Linked DNA regions of Neurospora crassa OR74A. The protein of the gene in region 2 interacts with the protein of the main gene of each other region in a biochemical or structural test. Links are inferred from orthologs where the notes say so. Each region holds a gene or a part of one and is shown on either strand. Other genes may lie near its edges.

What was found. The genes of interacting proteins can lie anywhere in the genome.
Region 1: the proteins of tim23 (region 2) and NCU00527 form a complex in vitro, tested with the Saccharomyces cerevisiae proteins (2 studies listed by BioGRID). The link is inferred for Neurospora crassa OR74A from reciprocal best matches to the Saccharomyces cerevisiae genes TIM23 and MGR2.
Region 3: the proteins of tim23 (region 2) and tim13 interact in a test that uses a peptide from one of them, tested with the Saccharomyces cerevisiae proteins (2 studies listed by BioGRID, with this or other methods). The link is inferred for Neurospora crassa OR74A from reciprocal best matches to the Saccharomyces cerevisiae genes TIM23 and TIM13.

What each region holds. Positions count from the first base shown.
Region 1 is NC_026501.1:8,114,956-8,121,219, reverse strand, and holds NCU00527 (mitochondrial genome maintenance protein Mgr2), read right to left. Parts: upstream 3,828-6,264; 5' UTR 3,599-3,827; coding exon 3,544-3,598; intron 3,454-3,543; coding exon 3,427-3,453; intron 3,366-3,426; coding exon 3,336-3,365; intron 3,272-3,335; coding exon 3,181-3,271; intron 3,116-3,180; coding exon 2,971-3,115; 3' UTR 1,929-2,970; downstream 1-1,928. Other genes in the region: NCU00526 (Lcc1), read right to left, coding at 1-530, 592-677; ham-4 (FHA domain-containing protein), read left to right, coding at 5,615-6,264. UniProt on the Saccharomyces cerevisiae protein: Required for cell viability in cells lacking mitochondrial DNA.
Region 2 is NC_026503.1:3,606,847-3,612,971, forward strand, and holds tim23 (mitochondrial import inner membrane translocase subunit tim23), read right to left. Parts: upstream 3,186-6,125; 5' UTR 2,940-3,185; coding exon 2,274-2,939; intron 2,204-2,273; coding exon 2,153-2,203; 3' UTR 1,445-2,152; downstream 1-1,444. Other genes in the region: NCU00372 (hypothetical protein), read left to right, coding at 3,925-4,073, 4,172-6,125. UniProt on the Saccharomyces cerevisiae protein: Essential component of the TIM23 complex, a complex that mediates the translocation of transit peptide-containing proteins across the mitochondrial inner membrane.
Region 3 is NC_026503.1:2,024,789-2,030,182, forward strand, and holds tim13 (mitochondrial import inner membrane translocase subunit tim-13), read right to left. Parts: upstream 2,960-5,394; coding exon 2,867-2,959; intron 2,737-2,866; coding exon 2,569-2,736; 3' UTR 1,929-2,568; downstream 1-1,928. Other genes in the region: NCU06243 (hypothetical protein), read left to right, coding at 468-1,778; plc-1 (phospholipase C), read right to left, coding at 3,531-4,090, 4,153-5,394.

The DNA of each region.
Region 1 (6,264 bases), on a different chromosome or scaffold from region 2:
TGTCGTACTTGGCCTGTGTGGGACCGTGGACGACGATGGGACCGACGATGCCACCGGCGTATTGCGCTGAGTAGTGGGCGTGGTACCAGGATGTGCCGTAGAGACTTGCATTGAACTCGTACGTGTAACTTTTGCCAGGAACAATGGGACATTGGGAGACACCGGGTGCGCCGTCATCCCATGGGGTATCGTCCTGGAGGAAACCGTGCCAGTGCATAGCCGTACCCTCCTCCGGAGAAGAAATGTTGTTGAAGACATTAACGACAATCATGTCACCCCAGTTCGCCTCAATCAGGGGGCCTGGAAATGCGCCGTTCACTAGTAAGACGTCCCGTTGGTATCCATCCGGTGCAATGACTCCTCGGCTGATGACAAAGTCGTACGTTCTCACTACTCCTGTTGCAGGACCATCGGTGTATTGGTTGTTTCCCCAGTCGGTGAGGTTTCCCCATGGATATTGTCCATCCGGTGTTAAATTGCCCAAGAAGAATGCTAGAAATGAAAAGAGAAACGTTCCCAGTCGGGATGAACTTGAACAAGATGACGTTAGTGGTCTTCTTCCTCCTAAGGAAGAAAGAAATGGAAACATACCCATTTGTTTCCTCTTGAACCAAGTTCGCAACAACACCTGTAAGTTTAGAGCTGACCTCTACTATGGCGCGTCCTACTACACCCATGATGAAGAGTAAAGGGATGAAACAGAAGATATACTTTGTCGACCCTTATAAGTGCAACCGAGTTGTTGGAAGGAAGACTATGGGTATGAGTGTCCAAGGACGGCCGAACATCCTCAGCTACGAAGAACTACATCGTTACTTCTTATACAAATCCCTTTGGGAGACTAAGACCGCAAGGACCTACCGCTTTGGCGCCATCCGTGACACAATAATCAACACAGGCCGACCCAGTCCTAGCTATCCCCGAGAAACGCCCCGTAATGTGACCAGCACAGCGAGAGGGAAAAAGGAACGGCAGGGTGGATAGATCACAGATGCTGTTTGGGATCGACCCACTACCCCGATCGACATCCTCCGTATCTGTTGCACCTAGTCGATGCAGCAAAGTACACATTATCCCTGAGATTGATGATGATGATAGTCTGCCAACGGAATCGTCAGGTACCATCCGAGATCCGGCGTGGAAACAAACTCAATGTCCACAACTTCAGAGTAATCAAGATCAGCGCTGTCCTTGAGCCATGTCACATGGTGTTAGGGAGCTGTTCAGCTCAGCTGGACCAGCATATATATTTTTCAGATTAGTGCGCACAGAGACCAGGTTGTTTGCGGCATCGGATTTGTCGGACAAAACTCACAACATATCCGGCCTGCCCACCGCTAGGAGTGGCCATAGAGAGACACTTGGGTAAACGAAAACACCAAATGGAGGTTCACCGTTGAAGTACGAGGTGGACAGCAAGAGGATCTCCATCTAGCGATCTCCAGGTGTTGAATTGTCGACGATATTATGGGTACAGCTCCACGGCTCCCATTTTCCTGGACCGCAAGATGACGAGCACTCCGTTATCGCCGGAAGAGCGCTAGGAATAACGAGAAGGGGTACAGCCATTGCTGGCCATGGCACTGAGCTATCATCTCGTAAAGTCCCTGGTAGTCGATCATGCAGTCAGCCTTCTTGAAAGTAAGGAGAGAATACTAGATACTGACGCCCAAGCAGCGTACCGCACAGGCTCGCACGGACTTGATGTTAATCTGTGAGTCGAAAGTGCATACATATATGTATACCGTATGGTCTCGCGCAACTCGTATGCCAGGACAGGCACAATCGTGCGGACCCTGTAGGGTCAAAGGTCTGCCAGTTGCGTTTGGTTGCGTGTATGTGGCGGTACAAGCAAACGGTAGAGCTTTAACCCGGCGTTGCCGGACTCTTCAATGCAAGGGAAATGTCAGAGGCTCAATCACAATTATGATCGCCGGTGCAGGAAGCAAGGAACTGGCAAAACAGAACAAGCGCCAAAAAATGAGAAGGCTGCTGACGGACGACCTTGGAAAATCCCAAAGCATGGCAACAAATGCTGCCGGAACAATGGGAACTGTTCGGTCGAGCCCGTCATCCAAAAAGAATGAACCAATGACCTGTAACTAGCTTTAGTCGATTGATCGCTGTATTCGAACAGAGAGTCGCAATGTTGCTAGGTCAACGAGTCCGGACCGCAGCTGGATGTATGCAGATGCAGCAACAGCCAGAAACCGATCCTCCTAAGTAAGACTGTGGCATGTCTAGAAGCTGATGTATTCCTCTTGCCGCGGATCTCAGCCTCCTTTGACTGGCACTTGTTGCAAGTTTCGAGCTACTGCTGTTGACTCGATTCCGTACAGTGGTAAAGATGATTTCTCTCCAATATTTTCGCCCAGTTTGTCTCCTCTTGGCGGAAGTGACGATGGTTGGGTATCTGTTGGTTCACTGGACGAGATATTCTCAAGGGAGTGAATGGATATTGCTTTAAGATTGCAAGTGCGATGCATTTTTTGAGCCGCATGAAATTGTCTTAGACGGTATTAGGGTGGCTTGTATGTATCGATCACTTGGCCGCCTTTAACCAGGATGTGAAACTTTGGGCGCTGATCTCGTTTCGCATAGTATACGTGTTGCTGAATTTCCATTCCAACAAAATTAACATGCTAACTCAGGCCCAATGTTGTAGCACAGCCGAAGAGCCTCATCATGCCGGTCGGCTTGCACAGCATGCCCATTCGTAAAGCTGGCCTGTTGTCATGAAAGTCAGCAAACATCTGTTGAATACAAGCACAGAAGCCCGGAAGCACCCTTCCTGAGTTGTCGCTCGTCAAAAGTTATATCAGACAAAAGGGGCCCAAACTGATCCACGCATGATTAGAATTTCTGTGAATTCTGAACAAACGCCCAAGACGCCGTATCCATAGTCGCTCCCGAGTGCGGCCCTATTATTTACACATAAAGTACAGCAAATCGTGCCTCCTGCGTGGACGCTTAGTCGGAGCGACGAGTCGGGTAGTAGGCGGGGCGGAAGGCCTGGGCGGCCATAATCATGGGCCTCCTCTGGGCACGATAATAGGCCTCGGCGACAATGGGCGAGGAGTCGGAACGAATGACGCTTCCGATGGACATGAAAAAGCTGGAAGGACGGCTGTGTCAGCGGTAGAGTCCAGTACAAAGTTCTGTGTCGAAGGGGTTTCCTACCCAAAGGTCGCGCCCGAACCGAGCATGTACTGGCCCAATGTCCTCATGATGCCGTTAGGGCCGGCACCATATCTGAAAATGTTGACGGTCCCTGGAGAGTGGCGCACGTCAGGACATGCCCGTAGGTCAATTGAGTCTTTGGGCGATGGGCCTACCGAAAATGAAACCAATGATGCAGCCGACAGCTGTAATCGCAAGAGGTTAGCGACCGGAGTCTTCATCATATCACGGGCAGGGGAAACATACTGCCGCCCATCATGGCACCCATCTTGACTGCGAGGATGGCATCATGTTAGCACGCTCCATGTTGTTTTTGGTTATCGCAAACCCCTCTCGAGTTGTTGCCGTGGAGTCAGCCCATACACTTGTCAAAGTTGGAGGGCCCAACGGCACCACCGTGCTGGGGAGGAGGAGGCATCTTGGTAATTGGCGGTATGGGATTGACGACACTGCAAAGCTAATTGCGGCCAGAGGAACTGCCAGCTGATGCTGCTTCGCTTGCGATCTCAAAGAAGTGGGAGGAATTCCGCGATAGAGTGGTTGCCGCGGGCAATTGCAAAAAGTGACGCACGGACGATTTCAGCGTGTGAACGAGGACTCCACCGCATCAGCCTTGCCCGCCGGGAGGAACTATCAAGTGCTACAGGGAACATTCCATCGTGATAAGGCCACTGCATGTGAAAGCTTGTCTCTGTTTCACGAAGCGTGAGTCTTCTCAAAACCTAAAGAAGAGATCAATAACTATAGACGGTCTATCCCAACTATAGGGATGCAATAATGAGCGTTTCTGATATCTTTAATCCACCTTTGTGAGTCCTTGCTGTCGTACTGTACTTGCAAGCTTCACCACTTGGCAGATGAAGCTCTAACAGAACCGGGATAGGCGGGGATCACCTATGGAACCTCTTTCATGTCTTTGGAACGTCTAGACGCTTGGGCCACCAACCTCGGCGTTGCCCGTCAGACCACCTAGAACTGTAGTCGCCTAGCGGGCGACGTGCCATCGTCAACTCCATTTATGTCCTTTCCAATTACCATTTACAGGCATTGCTCACGTGATAGGGAGTTCCTGCTGGAGTTGGTGACAGACTGACAGCCAGCGCAAGTTGAAATCATGCCTCTCCCTTGTTCAGTTGGTTCTTTTTCATCTCCGTGAAAGACGGGATTCAAGCTCCTGAAGATTGCGCCTGCACCCACGTACAGACCATCATCTTGCCCCTGGTGGTTGGCCTGCACATATCGCACACCAATTTCATTCCGATACAATCACTGTATCATATACGCAGGACACCTTGATCGTGTTTACCGCTGCATCTTCAACTGGTCGGCATCCAAGAGCCAATGGGTCACCTCAAGCAAGTTCAAGCAGACCTACAGGTACCAAGCGAAGAGGTGCTTCATTGTAGAAACAGGGGCGGGGACTACCAGTACACGGCTGTAGGTACCTAGGTACCACTGCAGAAGCCAGCGACCACTGGCCGGGCAGCGGCAGTGCTGCTAGTCAAAGGCCCAATCGCGAGGAACGGGGTAGTCCTGTTTGGGATTTGGTGGGAAAGTTTAGCTGAGCCAGCTGCACGCATGGACCACTCCGTGGCTCCGGCCGGCCTTCAGTCCCCTGCCCACTAAGCGCTTCAGGTACGGTTGGTTCCTCTCCAAGGCAACGTCAGGACTCTGGAAACGTGAGTCGCCTCGTGGATATTCTGGTTCAACCATCGTCGAGTGCCATACTGTTGCCGTCGCGTCTCGAAAGCGTGCTTTGCCATTTGCCATTTTCCCCATCTGCCCTCGAAATCGCCGTCACAACTTGCTATTACTAGGTATGCTTGCTTCTCGCTTGCTCCTTCTTTACTATATAAGCACCAACATCACGACGGGATCGCCTCTCGACTCGGTGCCTGCCCCTCCGCCAGCAAGGGCGCGAAGTTACCAAAGAGCAAGTGCGCACTCCTAACTCGACAGTCGTCGGCGGCCATTGTCCACTTGTCCAATCCACCTTGGAACCCCGGAATCCCTGCGCCAAGTGCTCGACGTCACGGCCAGATTACCGCCGCGTGCTGGGTAACATTACTCGCCTCTAACTGACCCTTTTGCTTTCAGCCCCTATAGTTGCCAACAACCCGTCCAAACTCCATCAATAGTGGCGCAGGTACATAACAAGGTCAGGAAGAGAAGAACAAGTAGTCGCATGGGCTAGAGGCTGCACGGAGACCTCGAGTGACAGCCAGTTGGAGCCCGCGCGCCTGCTCCCGCTCCCGCTCCCCGTTTCCAGCTTCCAGCAAAAAAAAAAAAAAAAGGACAGTTTGTTGCAACTTGCAAAGGGAACAATCTCAAGGTCCTAGCATAGACGGCAAGCGACGACACTAGCGACCAGCGACACCACCGCCCGTATCCACTTCGCTCCATTCCCCCAGAGCCCCGTCCACGCCAGGTCTCAATGACGGCTGTCGCGAATCCCCCTAGCTTCGCAAATCTCAATCGGCCGGGATGGATTAATGGCGACCAATCGCTAAACCCGATGAACCCCGACGACAATAGAATGAACATGTTCATGTCGCGAAAATCTCTTCAACGATCAAACTCCTCGTCGTCGGTTGCGTCGACGGCGTCCTCCTCGTCCACCTCCACCGTGACCTCGACCGGCTCCGTCTCGACTGCGCCGACCAACGGCAGCCCCAACAGCACCACCAGCAGCGGCGGCGTCAACGGAAACGGCAACCCCATGTCGGTCGGTGGAGACACCGCGCCTTGGTCGAACTCACAAGCTCTGCGCAAGAAACCGCAACCAAAAAACAACAACACCAACTCATGGACTAATGCCAGGCCAGAAGGAGCGTCCGACCTTTCACGCTCAGCAACAGGCCGCCCGCCCATGGCGAATGGCGTCAACGGCGCGCCTCCAACTATGCACCATCAGCAACAGCAGCCATCATCGCAGCCTCAGCCGCAACAACAACCGCAGTCCGCCATGTCGGCGCCGAACCAGATGATGTCACAAAGCAATCTCGCGAGGCCCGGCGCCGACCAAATGGCTCCCCAACGCCTGCCCGTGCTGTCGCTGCTGTCGCTCAATGGCACCTTCGAACG
Region 2 (6,125 bases):
CAGAAACTGAGCGCGAGTGAAGGGATCACGGCAAGATATCCACATGGGAAACCTGCAGCCCCGCGTTGAAGCCAAGCAAGTTTGGATCTGTCGTTGAGTCCTCGTGATCGTTGTCCTGCCAACAAACGCTCCTTCCTTCAAACAAGTCTTCGAGTCTGCTCGATGTCCTCGGATCCAAGAGAGAGTACTAACCCTCAGAGATACCTGACCTGCTGCTGCTCTCGATTTCTTGGGTGGAAATTCTGCAACAAGGAAAGCAAACAAACTTACCACATCGCGGAGCTCCCAGGCCCTCGTGCTCTCGTTAAAAACATAGTGATAGTTGTCTCCGTACCGGTTGACCGGTTCGCGCTCAAAGTCGACGTCGGCAAACGGCCAGCAAGGAATGCAACAGCACATGTTGACTGCTTCTTCTCTAATTGCTCTGATTGCTTTCGATTCGGGATATTTTTGCCGTTGCCGTGGCAGTAATGGTTGTTCTTCCCAATGTGCGGCGAGCGCGGTACAAAACAGGAGTCGAGTTGGTTTGAAGTTTTGTTGTCTGTCAACTGCGGAAGCGCAGTTGAACGGAAACTCCGTCTTTCATCTGCCTTGGTCTTGATAAGATACTTGGCAGAAGCCGGCCCGGGCAGGTATGAGGCTCCCGCAACCGAAAAGGGGAGGCACAGCCCAAAACACTCTAAACCCACATGACGACCCGACTATGACCATTGTTCTTGGTGTATGAAATTTCTGAAAGTATGCCTTGGGAGTATTTAGACATGATCTATGATACCCGCCTACTCACAGTAGGAACATTACATCTCGTGCACCTGATCATCTTGCTTGTTGATATGTCACTTACGACTTCATTGTCTGCTTGGTTTTTGTTGTGGTTCGTGGATGCGCTGCCCCGGTTCATCCTAAACTAACAAAGGTGGATGATTACGTTGTCTTCTTTCTATGCTAAAGTGTTCTGTTGGTATACTATCGAGTTTTTGTATATTCTTCAAGTGGCTTTCTATGGTGGTTTAGGAAGAAGGTGGGGATACATTACACGTTACATATGATCATGTCGAGCTCGCCTTTCTCCTTTTGCAACAGCATCCCACACCAGGAACCAAATGATGTTAGCTCGATCTTGTTATAACCAAAGATATGGATGGGAAACTTGCTTTATTAGTCTTCGATCTTAGAGAAAGCAATAACGGGATTCGTAGAGGGACTTAGCATAAAGAGGCAAGCAAGGTTATTATCGTTACTGCCACTTGTAGCTCACTAGTCTGTCGGTTATCGAAGAATTGATTTTCCTCCCTGTCTTGATCTCTCTGCTTCCATGTATTGAAACTGGTGCTTGCCTGTTGTTCTCAAGCCAAAGATTTGCATGGGGAATACTCGAGGAACAATGTGCGTACGGTTTCCAGTTCTGTGGCAAATAGGGAATTCGTCGGAGATGGGCCTTATCCTAAGAGAGTGGATATGTTCATTCGTAGTCCTGCCCCTAAGTCGCTTCGAACTTTGAACTCACACCTGCTTGCAGTCATTTTCGACACCAACGTGTGGCAGGGTGACATGCCCAATATATCCCACACCAAACATTACCTCTCTATTATCTTATCATAAAACCCGGAGCCAACAGTCATGTACAACCCGCAATAGACTCAAAGTTTGAATGAAGCCTGCCGCAATGCCCCATATGCCCAACCAGGGCGATTGCGCTCTATGTCCATATGATCCGCTATAATACATACAATTTTCCACACACGGGGAGGAGAGAGATGAGACTAACCCTTGCGCTATGCACCACTATGCACACACCCTGCCCTTTGGCCCCTCTTCCATGTCCTGCCTTGTTCAAGCCCTGCCCAGCCCAGTGTCGCTTTATTTTCGTTCTTCCCTCTCTTGTTCGTACACATCCACCAGTTCGTGTCTGCTGCCCTTTTGCTCCGTGTTGAACCAAGGACACACACACATCTTCATCGCAGTGGTCTTCCGTGCTGGTGAGAAAGACACTGGTTTTCTTCTGTCAGTTCTCTCGAAGATTAAAATAATAGAGAAGGCTGGCTAGCTATGCACTCTTTTCATGGAGCAACGATAGATGGCCAGAGAGTCGTGGGATGAAGGGAACAGAAGATGACTTTTTTTGTTTCCTATTTCATTCTTCGTCCCCACTTCAGTCAACCTCGTTGGTCTGGGGGGAGGGGAAGAACGTCCTCCTGGCGACCTAGTGACACAGTAAAGTTAGCAAGGTGTATTTCCAGTCTACGCCTGCCATACGAAAAATGGTGACATACCGCCCAAGTACCGGCTATCGTCGCAACAATACCACCCGAGATCATCATGGGCTTCAGACCCCTGGTGCTCTTGAAGAGCATACCACTAAGCGCACCGGCCAGGATTGAGTTGGCGGCATCGTGCTTGCCCCTCACGTAACCAATGCCGGCGTTGATTAGGTTGTAGCAGATGGCGACAACACCAGCCGAGTTGCCGAGGTAGGGACCGCGACGGGTGACAGCGTTAAGGACGGAGTTGAGGCGCAGCTTGGGCGGCTGGCCGGCCGATCTCTGGAGACCCTCTTTCAAACCCCACGCGCCTCCGATAGTGAGGGCCGTCAGGTAGGTGATACCGGTTCCGTAGCAGAGGTCGTCAGTGAAGCCGCGCGAGGGCAGAACTGAGGCGCCGGCGGCATCGGGCAGCGGGGTATCCTCAAGCGAGATGTATTCTAGTGTTTCCTTGTTGAGGCCGGCAAGAGGGTGTAGTTGTGTGGGGTCGGCGAAGGAAGAGCTACCGAGAAAGGCCTCGACACCTTGGGGCTGGCTAGCATCGAAGGGCGAGGGATATGAAGGAGCGGAGGTGGTGGTGGTGGTTGTCTGAGGTGCGCTGGGGGCGGGTGCGGCGGGCTCTTGCTGCTCTTGCTGCTTCTTGTTGCCTCCGGTGAGGGTGTTCCAAAGGCCGGACATTGTGACTGAAGTGGAGGGGTTCGATGGGTTATCGGATCGTTAAGCAGTTGGGGAACACGAAGCAGATAGACCGCGTACTGCTGCGCGCAAGAGTGGTGACGGGTAGCCGGAGGGAAGGGTGGGTGGGTGGTGCCGTCGGCAAACGAGTAAGCTATCGTATCTTCGGGGGAGTGACGGACGGGTCGGTGGGCGAGACGGATGGGATCTCGAATTGGCTCCGGCTCACGCGCAACTTGGACCGACGCCTGTCTTGGCCCCCGATAACGTCGGAACTTCGAAAAAATTTACCTCTATGGCGCCCGCATGGCCCGTGCGAGCGATTGGCGTCATATGTACCTCTACATATGTATATACATGCTCTGGGGCTTTGATTTCGGGGACATGTCAACATGGCGAAGTGGAACTCAACCGAGGCTGTAATGAAGAAGACCTTATTGAAAGGTCAACTGCAGTACATCGTGGGCATCTGAAGCTAGACTACGCCTTGAACAGATATATTCAACGGATTCTCCATGTTCCCATTCCTGCTTTCTCAGGACTTCTTCGCCTTTGGATCTTTTACGGGGACGGTTCGTTCGTGGGGATTCTTTTACTGCTACAGTGCAGGGGTATCTCTTGACATGGCGGCAGGCAACTTCAGACCCAAAACAAGCACGGTGGCCGGAGTGGATTCACCCCCAGAACATGCGCAGTGGATGTAAACACACAGTGGGTGATGCTATAGGCCTTTGAAGATCCCAAAATTTCACAACTCGTCGCTCATACTTTACACGAGTGCCCAGCAGAGAGGTGGATTACTTACTATCACAGTAACTTCAGGCCCTCACTAACTCTCACTGGGGGGCTCATTGACGGTCAGGCACTTACCACTCTTCGCTCCTTCTTTATTGCCTCCCTTTCCCAGTCATCATCACTCTGCAACGAAGTCTCGGATGCACGTCTAAACCCGGTCCCTCAATCATAACTTCCCTTTTGGACTGCGGGGATGGAGTCAACCCAAGTCCAGCAAAATGCCCCCGGCAGCAGCACCATTGACACGGACGCTCTGCTAGCCGGACTGGGCCCCGAAGTGTTTGAAAATGCCAACACCATCACCAAGTGGCTGTTGTCACAACCCACCGAGTCACTCCCAGCGTAGGTTTCTTTTCTTTCGGATATCTTCAGTGTCCAGTTATTCTTTGTGAGAAGTTCTCAATCACACATATACAGACATTCACTAACACCCGTGTTAGCATCGCACAGGCAGTATTTGCCAAGTTGTTCAGCAATGCCTCTGAGTCTCGCCAGTATCACGGCAACGGTCACGATGTCGTAAGGCTCTGCAGCTTTGTTCAGCAATGCGCCAAGGCCAAAGACGAGAAGCTGAAGGAATGGGCCTTCACCGAGCCCGTCTCAACGAAGCTGTTCCATTTCTACCTTGAGTGGTATGAACACGACCCGCATCGTGCCCTGAGACTGATTCTTGATGTCCTTGTGGCCTCGGCGACCATTAATCCCAAACCCGAGACAGGGAAGGCAGTGAAGGAACACATCCTCAAGACCATCGTGGAGATTGTCGCTCGCAAGTCTGCCATGCAACTGACCAAGTCTGGCCTGCAGTGTCTGGACCACTTCTTGAACAAAAAGGTTCTTTCCCTCGACGATGTTGCTCGCAAGTATCGCGAGGTCGACTCTTCTGTCGCCGACCTATCTCATCTCTCCGTGTGGAAGTCCTTTGTTTTTGAGCTGTTCTCGTGGATGGAGCTTCCCTACGTCTGCCCTCATGCCGGCAAATGTCTTGTGCATATTTTTAAGGGTTTAACTGGCCAGGCTGCTGCTGCGGCCCAAAAAAGCGAAAAGTTCACTGTCGAGGTCTGGAAGACGTGGCTACAGGAGGCTGTGGCCCAGAGACCAGCAGTCTTGGAGGATATCAAGAACTACGTCCTAGTTCCTATTTTCAAGACTGACAAGGTCGAATCTCTGAAGCTGCTCGAGGCGTTTAACCGCAGCGAGATACCCGTCGGATCTACACAGGATCTGACCGATCTGACTCTCTTGCTCCAGTTGGCGACACTCGAGACCGGCAAGCGGTTTGGTCTCGTGGAAGAACCCAGCAATGATATTGACGCTTCTCAGTCTTCAAGCAAGGTAATTCTTCGGGACACTGTCCTCGAAAGCTTCCTCACACATCCTTCCCTCTCCGTCAGATCCAGCGCTTTCTCCTTGTTGGTCTCATCCCAGGCCACTACGAAGCCCTTTTCCCGGATAGCGTTTGACCTACTCAGGAAGCACCTCGCCGCCTTCCATGCCGACTTTGACGCCAAATTGCGCAACGAGGTGCTCGGCTATACGAAGAACCTGATTCGGCGTGTTAAAAACGTCATCTCCGTTGCCCAGAGAAGCCTTGCCCAAGCAGCCAGCAAGCAGAACCCGGCGCCTGCGGACAAGGATACGACATCATCAAAGAAGAAGCCCGCTCCTGAGAACTTGTTGAAGAGTCCCACCGAGGCCAGGGAGGTACTTGACCGCCACGAGGCTTTCTTCTCGTGGTACCTTGGGTTTTTGAAGGGTGAGCTTTTGCCCACAACGTCTTACCAACGCCACATCACAGCCATGAGAGCGGCACTTTTGGCGTTGAAGGTTGGAAAACACGCTGGTGCCACGGATGATGTTGTCGATGAGGACGTTTCAAAGTCAATATCTTCAGATTTCACTTGGATCCGCCTTCTTCTGGATCTACTCTTGGACCCTTTTGACGATGTCAGAGACTCCGCCTCTAACCTTCTGGGGTTGTTCTCTCAAGGAATCATCAAGTCCCCCGCACAACCCAGTCTCAATAGCAAGACCCAACTCGAGGTCCTGCAAGACTTTTGCCTAAAAGCCCGGGCTTTGGCAGACAGAACTGGCCGCGCTGATCACGGTGACGGCGCTGCTCGCTCCCAGGGACTTCTGTGCCGATGGTTGGATGGTGCAGATCTCCAAATTGCTCACATTTCCAAGATCATCAGTGGTCTTGAAGACAAGGTTACAAAGGCAGAGAAGGACTTGGGCCACGCTGCCATTGAGAACCCCGTACATCCAGATTTTGCCGCCATCAGCTATGCGTGGCCTGTGCTGGCCAAAGAGAGCTTTTCCGAAACACAGTTGGAAGCCATCCATCAATTATATCAGCGCGTCTTCGACTGTGCCAAGCGTATTTGGGTAGCA
Region 3 (5,394 bases), about 1.6 Mb from region 2:
TTTCGTTACTTACAGGCGCACGTGATTATATGGAGCCTGGTACAAAGTATTCGGGTACAGAATTTGGGCTCAAAACCCCCAACACACAGTAGCCTTCGTCGACGAAGCTACCTTCTGGTGGATACCGTGCACGGGCATGAGCACAGACCTTGAATTAGCGTAATTTTCGACATTTTGTCAGGAAAGGTAAGAATGCCATATTTTCAGTTCCTATCGAACACTAGCCCAAGGCGCTTTGCCGGCCGGGAAAAGGAACACCATGCGAATGATCGATAAACGATAAGCGATCCGTGGCTGGTGACGTGACCCACTTATTCTTCACTTTAGTGTAAGTGCACCCGACTGCACTGCAGTGTAGTGTAGTTGCCGCCACTCCAATTATCCCAAGGACAACCAACCTTCTCTTTCTGAATTATTTCACTAATTGTATTTCAAATTGGCCAATCAATCCACCAAAGAAAATCATCATGGTGGGCTTCTCTTTTGGACTGAAAAAGGCTGCCGCCTCCTCGAAACCAGCGCCGGCCAAGAGGAAGCCCACGACCTTCGGCGGCGATGACGATGACGAAGACACGACAGCCGGTGATGGCCAGCCCAAGCCCATCGCCGCCGTTGAAATTGCCGAATTGGACGGTTTCGACGACAACACGAGCACACCCCTAGAGGCAGTAGACGAGGACCGCAAATCAAAAAAGAAATCAAAGGGACTACCACAACCACCACCGCCTATATCGGCAACAACAACAACATCATCATCATCATCATCAAACAAGAAAGCACCTCCTCCCGTCGCCGCCGCCGCTCAATTTGGCGACCTCTCCTCCGCCCTCGAATCGCGTAAATACGCTCAGGCTGCCGCCACCGCCGACCCCTCCATCTACGACTACGACGCCGTCTACGATTCCCTCAAGGCGCCCAAGAAGCAAGAGAAAGAAGCCGACAGCAAGGAAGGTAAGCGGCCGCGCTACTTTGATGCTTTACAAAAGGCCGCCGAGACGCGCGAGCGCGACCGGGCCATCGCCGAAGAAAAACGACTAAAACGGGAGCGCGAGGCCGAGGGGGACGCGTTTGCCGACAAAGAAAAATTCGTCACAGAGGCGTACAAGCGCCAGCAGGAAGAAAACCGACGACTAGAGGAAGAAGAAAAGAAGAGGGAGGAGGAAGAGGCCAAAAAGAACAAGAATAAGGGCTTGACAGACTTTTATAAGCAGATGCTGGAGAAGGAGGAGCAGGAGCATGCGGCCAAGATGAAGGCTGTTGAGGAGCGGGTTAAGGCTGGGCCTGGAGAGGCAGCACAGCAGAAGAATGAGGGAGAAGAAGACCCGGACGCGGAAAAGTCGGCGACAGAAAGGGCAAAAGAGATTAACGCCATGGGCGGAAATGTGATTATCAATGATGACGGTGAGGTGGTCGACAAACGACAGCTGCTCAAGGGTGGTCTAAACGTGGCGCCTAAGAAGAAGGTGGAACACCAACAAGAGAAGGCTCGACAGGCCGCAAAGCCTGCTGGGGCAAGCGGACCAGCTAAGGGCGTGTTCCAGGGTGGCAGCAAGCAGGCAATGCGGGAAAGGCAGACGCGCATGCTGGAGGCTCAGCTTGAGGAGAGGCTTAAGCGGGCGAGAGAGGAGGAAGAAGAAGAGAGGAAGAAGGTTGAGCTGGTGTCCAAGAGCAGGAAGACGGAGGCGGATATCTCGAGCGCGAAGGAGCGGTACCTGGCGAGAAAGAGGGCGGCCGAAGAGGCGAAGAAGAAGGGGCTGGAGGAGGGTGGTGCGCCGTAGTTCTGTTTTTAACAGCTCGGTTTTGTTATCTTTCAAGTTGTTCATTTTCAGTGGTTGTTGTTGACATGAGATACCCTTTTCTTTTTGGGAACCTGGTCAAACTGATCACATCAGTTCCCAGTAAAAGCATATGCCAGGACAAGGAAAAATAAAGAATGCCACTTTTCCAACGTCTATAAAAAGCACTGGGCCCCGTTCCTTTCCCTGTCTACCCATACCATTCCCTTGCCCGTGATTGCGCTGATGTTGATACACACGTACACATATGGTACGGAAAACGATGTCACCTCCATCTCCCTAACCAAACAGCCGCCGCTCGCTGATTTTTCCCTCCTTGCGTTCTTTCCTTGCTTTGCGCTTCTCCAGCCTCCTGCATCTTAACATTTCCAACCCTCAGCCGTGACCGGACCCTGTGCTAATGCCCAATGCGAAGGTCTTGACACCACTGCCGCCATCAAGAACCCTTGATATCTTCTATAATGTCCTTCAAACAATAAGGTCGTGTTTGAACCCGATCTGTTCGTGTACGATACGGAATCGGCATCCGAATCATTCATCGCATGCCAGTCGACAGTCGCGGCAGCAGTCGGAGTCGCAGTCGCAGTCGCAGTCGCAGTCGCAGTCGCACTAAGTCGAAGTCGCATATACTTTTTTTTCTTTTTTTTTTCCCCTCCCTGCCCCATCCCTCCCTCCATAATGCTTTTTTTTTTCGTCTTCCCCCCCAAGACCCCCAAAGAAGCAACTCATCGATGTGCCTTCGTCCTAGGTACTACTACTTACTCCTCCCTCTCTACTGGTTGCCCATCTCCTGCTGTATCCTCCGCAGATAAGTCGTGTTGACCACGTTCCACGCCGCCATGTACTTTTCGGTGCACTGGGTCACGCACGTCTTCTCGCTGTTGGAGAGGGAGGAGCCGGGCTTGGGGACGCACGAGGTGAAGCAGTTTTCGCCGATTTTCTGTTTTTTTTTTTACATTGAAGGCCCGGTTAGTTGGTTGGCGGTTTTGAGAGAGAGAGAGAGAGAGAGAGAGAGCAAAAGAGAGAAAACGGAAAGACAGAGAGAGAGAGAGAGAGAGAGAGGTACGTACCTCCATCAAAGTCCGCGCATTGGCGCTCTGGGACTCGATGAGAACCTGCTTGATGATAGCCTTCTTGACGGTCTCGGAGGTTGAGTCGGACATGGTTGCGATTTTTTTTGTATAGAGTTTTGGAGTTTGAAGTTTGGATTTGGGTGTGGTGGTGGTGGTGGTGGTTGGTTATTAAATCAGTCGCGAAGTTGCCGGAGCTAAGATCTTGGTGACGGCTTCGATAAAGTGGGAATGATAGGTAACTTGACTGCGAACGAAGCTCCGGACGAATGCCGCAGCAAGCCAGGATCCCAGTCAGTTCGAAATGTTTATTATGGAGGTGTGGCTTTAGTAAGTAGTGATTGCCGAGCAGTGATAAGGTGAGGCTGGTGCAAGTCGGTCTTTTCCCGGCAGGCAAAGTCCTGAAATGGCAGGAATAAGGGGGCCCCTTTTGGGACACAACAATAACAACAGTGGTTTGTTGGTGTCGATGGTGTTATGCAAAGTAGTTTATACCACCTTCGACAGTTTAAACACAACTGTCACAAGAAATATGAATGACAAGGCTAAGATCACGCTTAACGCTCCATGCTATATATGCTTCATATGCTTTTAACTCCCTCACTTCCTTCACTCCCACAAACCACACCGAAACAAACCGCACTGTACCGCACAGCAAGTAAAGTTACAACCTCAACTTCTTGCTTATCTTCACCAAAACAGCCCCATCACTCTCCATCCCCTTCGCATCCAAAAGATGCACAAACCGATACCCTTCCCTCAACCGATCCAGCCTCACGCACGCCCACGCCGCCAACGAATCCCTTCCAATCTCATCATCCAGCACCAAGAACCTCACAAACGAGAGCTCCGGGACTACACCAGGGATATTCTCAAATTTCAGTTCTGTCTGGGCACCGAACTTCCCCTCCCAATCCGGATCGCATCCTCCCTTTATAGATTTGGTCTTGGCCTTGTACTCGCCCCCTTTTTCTTTGCCGTCCTGCGGCAGCTCGTCGGTACCGTGCCGCTCTCCAGGCTCTTCCACGTGTAGTTCGACTTTCAGGTAAGGGCGGAAAGAGTCGATGTTGTCGTCTCCGGGGGGAAGGGGGAGCGATTGAGCAGCGAGAACATTGATGGTAAGATCCATGGTGTAGTGCTGGACGGCGTCGGCTTGGGTGTCGGAGGCCAAGGGTGAGGGGGAGGGGGACGGATTAGAGTCGGTGAGTTTGGCGCAGCGGTAGCCTAGGTCGGGTCTTGTTAGCGTTTTTGTCTTGCCTAAAGAGGAGTGGACTAAGTGGACGTACCAGCAGGTTTGAGCACATAACCGCCCGTCCCAGCAAACATGCCCTCATTCAGCATCATGCCCTCATCCCAATTCTGCCAATTCAGCGCCACAATCTGGATCCCCTTTCTCCAAAACACAGCCGGATCCAGGTTTGATGACAAGATACGCATACCAGACGGGTACGCCCGCATCAGATAGTGCTTGTTATGCTCGAAGAGCGCGCTACGACTCTCCTTGTGAACATCCATCACGCCACTCTCCGACAGCGAAAAGATGTGCGTCGGCATGTTGGCCTCGGGCTGCATCAGACTTTTGAACGACACACCGCGCGTGTAGATGCCCATCTTGCTCAAACTCCAGATAACCTTCGACGGTTTCTTCGCCCGCTGCTTCGGTTGGCCCGCTTCTTCTGATAGTCTTCCAGAAGCCGCGGCGGCGGTGTTGTCCAGCTCCTCGGGGGTCGTCGAGCCCGTCGAGCCCCCTTCATTGTTGGGTGGAGCGTACTTGACCTTCACGAGAATTTTGCCGCGCAGCTCTTCAGGAGTGGGAAGATATTTGGCATCCTCCTCCGGCTCAGGAAGAAGCAAGTCTCCCCAGATCTGCCTCATAATGTCAACCATCATTTCCTGCTGCTCAGCGCTGCAGTGCACCTCGAGACTGACGATCAGAGGCAAGTCGGTTGTGGCAAAACCGTAGTCCTTGATAGCCTCGCACACGTCTCGGAAGGTGATGTCTTTAGTTAGCGTGTACCCGTGCAGGACTCGCGGCTCTTTGGTGCTCTTCCTACTGAGAGTTTGGAATAAAGAGGCAGAGCCGCCGCTCTTGCACCTCTCCAAGGGGTTCGTTTCGGCTGATAGTCCTACTGGGGCGGCCTCAGTGGTTGTTGCTGCTGCAGGCGGCGGCGGCGGCGGCGTTGTTGTGGTGGGCTCCGGAACTTTCTTGTCCTTGGACTTCTTCCTTCCACCAAGAAAGCTAGGCAGCTTTCTCTTCGCTTTCCTCTTCAACTTGCTCGCTATTCCCTCCTCACCACTGCCATAGGCATCATCGCTGGAGCTGGAACTGCTCGAAGTCACAGACTCGGCGTCACCATCGTCATCCTCCGACTCGGAGTCCGAGCCATCCCAGACGTCCACCTCGATGCAGCGGCACCCGCGCAACAAAACGTTCCTATAGGCATCGACGCTCGAGTCGCTGGAGAGCTGATTACCTGTCAGATAAGTGTTGTGGCTGGAACTGATGAAGTAGCTTGAGAGCGGGTAAC